Linked DNA regions of Neurospora crassa OR74A. The protein of the gene in region 1 interacts with the protein of each later gene in a pairwise test. Links are inferred from orthologs where the notes say so. Each region holds a gene or a part of one and is shown on either strand. Other genes may lie near its edges.

What was found.
Region 2: the proteins of pex12 (region 1) and pex10 interact in binary tests that used the Saccharomyces cerevisiae proteins (3 or more experiments, as listed by UniProt). The link is inferred for Neurospora crassa OR74A from reciprocal best matches to the Saccharomyces cerevisiae genes PEX12 and PEX10.

Annotation. Positions count from the first base shown.
Region 1 is NC_026504.1:5,625,079-5,629,439, reverse strand, and holds pex12 (peroxisome assembly protein 12), read left to right. Parts: upstream 1-1,495; 5' UTR 1,496-1,820; coding exon 1,821-3,161; 3' UTR 3,162-3,550; downstream 3,551-4,361. Other genes in the region: NCU05244 (thioesterase), read right to left, coding at 1-81, 194-721. UniProt on the Saccharomyces cerevisiae protein: Component of a retrotranslocation channel required for peroxisome organization by mediating export of the PEX5 receptor from peroxisomes to the cytosol, thereby promoting PEX5 recycling.
Region 2 is NC_026501.1:5,158,845-5,162,912, forward strand, and holds pex10 (RING-1), read right to left. Parts: upstream 2,679-4,068; 5' UTR 2,406-2,678; coding exon 1,116-2,405; 3' UTR 782-1,115; downstream 1-781. Other genes in the region: bem46 family protein, read left to right, coding at 1-137, 262-427; NCU03278 (protein-ER retention protein), read left to right, coding at 3,093-3,183, 3,262-4,068. UniProt on the Saccharomyces cerevisiae protein: E3 ubiquitin-protein ligase component of a retrotranslocation channel required for peroxisome organization by mediating export of the PEX5 receptor from peroxisomes to the cytosol, thereby promoting PEX5 recycling.

The DNA.
Region 1 (4,361 bases):
GCGGAAGTAGGACTTGGGGTGGGGAAGACCAGAATCGGCCGAGATGAGTTTTAGGTGCGGGAGGAGGGGGGTTGTGTAGTCCTGCTTGTCATGTTAGTTTGTTATGTGGTAAAAGGAAGGAGAACTCTTATGGAAGAAATTAGGGAAAAGTGAAGAAGGTACTGTAGTAAGTGAAGAGTGAAGAGTGACGCACATGATCGCTGATATCACCGCTAGAAGCCTTTTCGAGTTCTCGTCGGTGTAGTTCGAGTATTCGTTGCTCGCCCGTGTATGGCAGTAGACTTGGGTCGACGGTAGTGCTTGGTGGTTGTACTGGTACTGGTGCGGGTGCTGGTGCGGGTGCGGGTGCTGGTGCTGGTGCTGGTGGTGCTGCACTTCTTGGTGGCTGCTGCTGCTGCTGCTGCGGGTGACGACTTTGTGAATGTTGACTTTGTGGATACGGTAGTAGTGGTGGTGGTGCCGGTTGCTGAAATTGCTGATATTGTTGGTGTAGATGGTGTAGATGGTGCAGATGATGATGTGGATGTTGATGTTGACCACCACCACCGCTCTTTGGTGGTGTTGCTGGTGGTGGTGGTGGTGGTGGTGGTGGCGGTGATGCCGACCCCTTTCTTCCTTCTTGACCACCGGCCATAGTATTTTCTTGCTCCTCTTGGGATGCTAACGAAACAACAACGACTTCAGATGTCTTTACTGGGCGATGATAAGTACGGATGGTCATCTTTTATCTCCGTGAGCGACGAGACGAGACGATAAGACGGGAAGGGAAGGGAAATAAGAATGATAAGATTGTGGCTTGCAGGTCCGGTGTTTCACTGTGCCGTCCGTAATGGGATGCGCGGCAGGGAAGGGCGGTTGTAGATTGCCGTTAGTAGAGGTAGTGTAGTCTCGTAGTGTGTATGTAGGTAGACGGGAGGGAGGTAGGTAGTTGCCTTGGTCGGTGTTGGTTAGTATCGATGTACCACACACACACAGGAACCGGCAATAAGTCAAAACAGGGAAGTAGTAGGTAATTTATCAATGTAGTGTTACCGGCGGTACAAGTAGTAGGTAGTAGTAGTAGGTATGTGTAAAAGAGCGGGATGGAAACAACACCGACAACGGATGCCCGACAACTCGACGGAATCGAACCAAAGCAAAAGAGGAGAGGGGGGTATCCATGCCTGCCGTGACTACCTAGCATAGTAGCAGTAGTCTACACTACACATCACAGGCACAGGGGGGGATGATTGGGGATGAATGGGCAAATGGGGTAAACTGGCGGGCATCCGTTGCAACCCATTTCTTGGGGTACATGAATGACCTGACAGCCTCGGCTACCTGGCAAGGTCCAAATGGCGGCGGCGGCAAGCAAAAGCAAGCAAGCAACTACACTAGACAGCGACGGGAGCACCCACAGGCCTCCACTGCGCTGCCCGACTTTCAGCTGTCCACTCACAGTGCTACCAAGTGCCACTTTTGATGCGTCGCGGCATCCACTCCTTGGCCCCGGTCTGAGTCCCCCCCCCCTTGTTCGAACTTCCAGGAGGTCGAGGTCCAGGTCCATCTCGCCCCGTTTCTTTCAATTCATCCCAATTATATCGTGAACTTGACTTGACATCAACAAATCCATCGATGGAAACCACGACGGCGATATAATACTAGTAAAACGTCACACCGACCCCCTATCACTACGCGCGACACTGGAACATACCGAAAGAGGAACCTCGAACTCACCCCCTCTCGATACAACCGGCGGGAGCCTATCCCATCCCATCCCATCCCGCCCCCGATAACCACCAGACCGTAACAATACCCAACCGGGCACCGTCGCAACAACCATGGAATTCGTCACCGCCCTCCGCGGCACCTTCGACGACGGCAAGCCCTCCCTCTTCGAGCTTCTCTCGGAACAACAACTCGCCTCCCTCCTCCCGCCCACCCTCCGCTACCTCCTCACCGTGCTCACCCACCGCTACCCGCGCCACCTGCTGCGCATCCTCAACTCCTTTGACGAGCTGTACGCCCTCGCGGGGCTGCTCGTCGAGCGCCACTACCTCAAAACCCGCGGCGGCAGCTTCACCGAGCACTTTTACGGCCTCAAGCGCGAAAAGGCGCTGGCCGCCGAGATCCCGCGCGCGGCCTCTTCGGCGCCCAACCTCGTCCGCGACGCCCTCAAGCTCTCCGATGTCGACATCTGGAAGAACCTGGCCGTCATGGTCGGGATCCCCTACCTGAAACGCAAGCTGGACGAGGCCTACGAGATCGATGCGCCGCGCGCCATGTTGGGCGGCCAGTACACGCGGCCGCCGGCAAAGGGGGCCCCGATGAAGGAGCGGTTCTTGTATTACTACCGCTGGTTTCTACGTAAAGTGTACCCGAGCTTGAACGCGGCGTATTACTTTGCCATCTTGGCGTTTAACCTGGGGTATCTGTTTGACAACACAAAGTACCATAACCCGTTTTTGTGGCTGATCGGGACGCGCGTGCGGCGGATGAACGGGGCGGATTATCAGGCGATTGAGGCTCTAGAGAAGGCAGCGGGGGCCGCCGCCGCTACCTCCAGATTAACAGGGGGGTCGATGTTCAGTCCGAGGAATATGAGTCGAAGGCTGATGGGCGGTCTGTCGCTGGTGCTGCCGACGAGTATTTTTGCGCTCAAGTTCCTTGAGTGGTGGTACGCTTCGGATTTCGCCAAGCAGCTGAGTCGCAAGGCGGCGGAAAGCCTGGATCTGCCGCCGCCGACGGTGACGGGGCTGGTGGAGGCGCAAGCGAGGAATAAGCCTAAACCCAAGATCACGAGGACGTCGGAGGATGGTGTGGAGGAGAAGGCGGATGAGGATGATGAGGCAGAGGAGGAGGCTAGCAGCAAGGAACCAACGCCCGAGACGGCGCCTATAGCGGCTTCGACGCTGTTGCCGATTTTCACGGTGCCACCACCCAAGAGATCTGATATGTGCCCTATTTGCGAGGACGAGATCCAGACGCCGGCGGCGTGTCAGACGGGTGTGGTCTATTGCTTTTCGTGCATACACAAGTGGATGAGCGGGACCCATGTCAGGCAGGAGAAGTTCATGACGAAAGAGCGCGAGGGCAAGTGGGAGAGCGGAGAGGGGAGATGTGCCGTCACAGGAAGGAAAGTGCTGGGAGGGACGGAAGGGCTGAGGCGGATCATGGTTTAGCCGGAAAGAAGATATTGAGGATGATGGATTGGCATGAGTTGTGAAAAGCGAACATTAGACATTATTTAATGGTGGCATATAATCTGGCAAGTTGCATAACCAACATACCGCAAACGAACATGTAAAACTGGACATGCTTACTGGTCAGACAATCAGATTCCTCTATCACCTCGTGGTCGATGAAATGTCAACAGCCATCTTCTTTTTTTTTCTGTACTGCCAAACCGGATGGTTCACGTACGAACAACACGAAGCTCATGCAAGAAAAAAAAAAAAAAAAAGGGGGGGGGGGATCAGAATGTCTATCAACACCGTTTCAGTAACTCGATTAATCTACCTGTACGTACTTCGCGAATCCAAAAAGGCAAAAGAAAGATGCGGTTTGTGTGGATCGAACACACGACCTTCAGATTTATGAGTGAAGTGGACTTCAGTCTGACGCTCTCCCAACTGAGCTAAACCCGCTTTGTTGTTGGACTCTAAGTGCCAAACCTTAACTCATATGGTAGCACCTACCACTTTGCCTGCCATGTTGACCAAATTCGCAATGAAAATGGAATTTCCCATCTTCCTGTATGTCTGTCTACGTCTTGCTTGACGATAATTTCTTTCAGATTACTAGCTAGTCAATTATTTGCCGTGATGAGAAGCGCTATCTAGTGTAGTTGATTTTACTTCAAACCCTGTAGCAAGTGGATGGCGATGTGATAGAGTTCGGTAGGTAGGTAGGTAGGTATTATTGCGATGCTTCTCATTGTATAACCATATACATACGACCACCAGTGAATATTCTGCCTTTCTCTGCCTGAAGAACGCTGTCTTGACTAGGTAGCTGTCTATGGAGAGAAAAAGAGAGAAAACAAAGGGGTAATGGAAATGGAAATGCATAGAGTGTATATATACCTCTACCGAACGAAGTCCTCGTGCGAGGAGTATAGTATAGTAGATAGAGAAGAGAAGAGTGATATCTTGTTGCAAATGCGCTCCTCCCTCCCTCCCTGAAAAATCAAAGGACGGTCTCCTTCCAGCAGTTCCCATTGAAAGTAAAGCAAAACAAAACAGAGAAGATTTAGAAGAGAGGTAGCTTCGACGTCCATAATAACCCCGTCTACATATGTTGTAAATGTAAATCTAGCCCGAGCTACTGCAGTGTAATTCGTTCCCCGTTTCCCCGTCGCGCCATGCCATGTCATGATATCT
Region 2 (4,068 bases), on another chromosome or scaffold:
AAGCTGATACCCAGCATCATTCCTCCTGCTCGGTACCTTGCATCCCTATGCCATCAGGTCTGGGCTACCGACACCTTGATCGGCAATGTCAAGGTACCTACTTTGTTTTTGAGTGGACTCCAGGACGAGATTGTGCCGTAAGTTTTTGTCCTGGCCTTTCTCATTGTGCCTCCACAATATGGTACTCTGAGCCACGGTCTGTGGTTGTGGCCGGTTGGGTTGCATGAGAGCTGTCCGCTAATTCCATCACCCGCATCTTAGACCCACTCATATGAAGCAGCTTTATCATCTCTCCAACGCTCCGATAAAGATCTGGAAGCCTCTTCCCAACGGCGACCATAACTCGAGTGTCCTCGAAGAAGGCTACTTTGAAGCCATCGCAGAATTCATCCAAAGGGTTTCCTCAGGAGACCCCGAAAAGAAATAGCTCGATTCGACAACGAAATCCGCGCCGTCGCTCTCTCCTCATTCCATACGGTAAATGGGTCTTTCTGTTGAAGGGGAGGCATATGATGTGCCCACGATCTTGATGACGCGAAAGCGTCCACGATTACGAGCTGTTGGGGGACAGCGAAGCACAAGTACGACAACCACGACCTTGGTGGCTTGATGCTTGAAGATGGGTCGGAACTTGAGGCTTTCATTGAGGTGTCATATTTTCTCTTTCGCACCTCGTGTATGTATTTCATGACCCTTTGGACCTATGTCGAGGTTGCTCGGGTCTTGATTAAGACCCAAACGGGACGAGACTCGATATTAATCAAGCAAGAGAAGTTTTTGTAGAGTAAATACCAAATATTAATATCGGACAAGGAATAATTCAATTTCATACTTGAACATATGTGCATTAGCTTGTCAAAAGTTCCTGACCTTTTGAGAATATGTCGGATCATTCAATCATTAGGCTATGTACGAAAACAGGCTCTCTCTCCTGGCAATATGCTTGCTGCATATACAATTATCCCTAAACCGCAGTTGTTGACTGTTCGCTCCTTGTCATGTGCAAATACTACCCAAAATCTGTTCTCGAGAGGACGTTGTAAGACTCCTGCTTTTTGTCATATCTCCCGTATATTAAGTATTTTGTCCCCCCCGACCGCCAGAAAAGGACTGCTCTAAGCAACCCTCAATGGCAGAATATGCTGTACCATCGTCTCACGTCTGCACAACGGACACTCAGGCTTCTCGCGCACCCAGTCTCCAATACACGACCAGCAGAAGACATGTCCGCACTGGGTCGCCGCCGGGTCCTTCAGCTCTTCCAAGCAAAGCGTGCACATCCTCTGCTGTCTCCCCTTGATCCAGCCCATGACCTCCTCATTCGCCGCCAAGTCGTAGTTCGCCCTCCCGCCCTTGGGCACAGGGGTGTGCGTCGTCCGTCCAATCTCCGCCAAACTACGCTGGTTACCCGACTTGCCCGTCTCCACCAGCAACTCGTTATTGCTGCTATAGGCATTCTCATCTAACGACACATCCAGTGTGCCCGCAGCGCCCGGCCCAAAGGCGCGCTCCCGAATGCTCGCCTCGGTACTGGCCTCCTCGGCACTAAGCGGCGAAGTTGACGACAGCTGCGCCGTCACATGCAGGTATCCCCGGACGAGCATCTGCACCACCAGCAGCACGCCGAGCACTTCATAGCCCGCGCGACCGCCTTGACCCTCCTCGATGCGCCGCGTGAACACATAACGCAGCCCGAAGAGGCGCTTGGAGAAAGAGTAGTAAGCACCCGAAAAGTAGAATACGGCCAGCGTCAAGGCGTGCAGGTGCGCGCCGCTGGTGATGGAAGTCAGGTGTGTGAGCAGGTAGCGCTTCACGCGGTACTCAAGCGTTGACACTGTGGAGAAACCACCGCCCTTGTTGTTGGAGGTAGATGGGGTGGCGCCCTTGGTGTCGCCGCGGCCCTGGCGGGCAAGCACGGTGAGACGGTCCTGGAGGCGCTTGCGGAGCGCGGCGCGGATGGAGGGCAGCAGGCGGCTGAAAAGGTAGGGGACAAGAACGCTACTAACGATGTAGCCGGCTCGTCGCTGGAGCGAGGGCAGACGGGGGCCACCGGCTTCGCTGCTGGGCTCGACGGGGCTTTGGGTGTCTGGTATCCTGCCGTTGCCGCCCGTACTCGGCTCTTCGACTTGGACTAGGTCGCAGTACTCCTCGCCTAAGGTGCGGTTGCCGAGGAGGGTGGTGAGGCATAGGTAGAGCAGGTCGGCAGCCGTACGGGTTTCGGTGGCCCAGGAGTGGGCGGAGCGGGCACCGCGAACGCGCCGGTGAAGGTCGGTCAGCTGGTTAGTGAGGACGCCCTGGAAATAGGCATCTTTTTGATGCGCGCGGATAATGTCGGGGGCTGCAGCGAATGGATATGGCGAGCTCGTGAGCGGCGGAGGAGGCTTCTTGGTGGCCGTCAATGACATGGTAATTGATGTCGTCGTTTGGGTCGGGTCGGGTGGGCTCGAAGTCGGGGGGGTCAAAAGCTGTGTTTACACGGTCGACGTATTCAGGGGGAACTCTCGAACCCTAGGAGAGCTCGTATGCCTACAGTCGAATCGTCGAAGCTGTGGCAGTGGATGATTAAGTCTTTTCGATCTGAAATTATCCGAGTTGTTGTTTGATGTTTCGAGATCGACAGGCGGCAGTTGAAGCTGAGATGAAAGTGGTAGTCGGGAACGGATGGACCTCGGTCCTTGGGGTTAATGGGGGCAGCACGCCCGGCGCCGCCCCAGGCGTGGTTCCTCCTCACAAGGAGCGAGCTGAGGAATTGGCAGGGGGGTGCCCAGAACGTCGTAGCCCAGGCTTTAGCGGCAGGGATGATGCAGCGGGTTGTCACAGGACGGGGCCGCGACCAGGGGTTGCACTGACGTCGGGTCTTCTCCCTAAGCCAAAAAGAGTGCACGCGACAGGGGCTTGGCAACTCCGGTGTCTTTGCGACAGCTACCACAATACAGATGAAATTAAAATTTCCATCTTGACACTTGACAAACTCCAAACGCGTTACTGCTGGGAATTTGATCCCAAGCCTATCAACTCTTCTTTGCGTCCAACTGTTACTTCTCCCTCTCCGCATTCCATGACGGACAGCAAATTGACCGCTGCCTGGCGCAATGGACGGTGATCCCGTGGTTGAGCCGGAGCTCGACTCCTTCAGCTTGACCTTTCCCCTTCCCTACCGGGTTGCCTTCATCGTGATCATAGGTATGTATATACAAGTTTCCTACCGTATGTTTGCTCTCTGGATACACGGTTGTAAACTGACTATCTCTGGTTGATTAGCTGTTTGGGGCTGGGGCCTCAACCTTCACTTCCTCCATAATCGCAAGATCGACGTCCCCTCCTTAATCCGGTACCCAGGAAGATCGAGCCCAACCCAGCTCCCTCACCACCACTCGACATACCGTCTTGCGACTCTTCTTTCGCTAAGCTCCGCTGTTTCGATTCTCACATTTTGGTCGTTTACCAGGCGCGATCCAAAACGCGTTATCGACTATGACTGGATTCCCATGACCAACTTGGCAGTGACCGCAGCCCTCTTCGTGCTACCCCTGCGAAGACTGTCTGTTTCGCACTCCGGTCGACGTCGACTACTCGCAACTCTGCGCCGCGTCAGTGTGGGAGGTTTGGCTGAGGCCAAGGATGGAAAGTTTGGGGATATCTTGCTGGCTGATGTTCTCACCAGCTACGCCAAGGTCCTTGGGGACCTGTTCATATGTCTCTGCATGTTCTTCACGCGGAATGGGTCTGCTACTGACCGACCCGATCGCAGCTGCGGCGGCACCTATCTCGTACCACTTCTCCTGACGATACCAAGCGCTATTCGGCTGCGCCAGTGTCTTATCGAATATCTGCGCGTGCGAAATTCCCCTTTCAAGGAGTCCACGGGCTGGGGTGGACAACATCTCGCCAACGCGGCCAAGTACTCGACCGCGTTTCCTGTTATCATTCTAAACGCCATGTTGCGTAACGCAAACACCAGCGGTACCCCAACTACGAGCCTGTACCGTGCATGGATTGTTGCGTGTCTGCTCAACTCACTCTACAGCTTTTACTGGGACGTTGCCAAGGATTGGGATCTCACCCTCT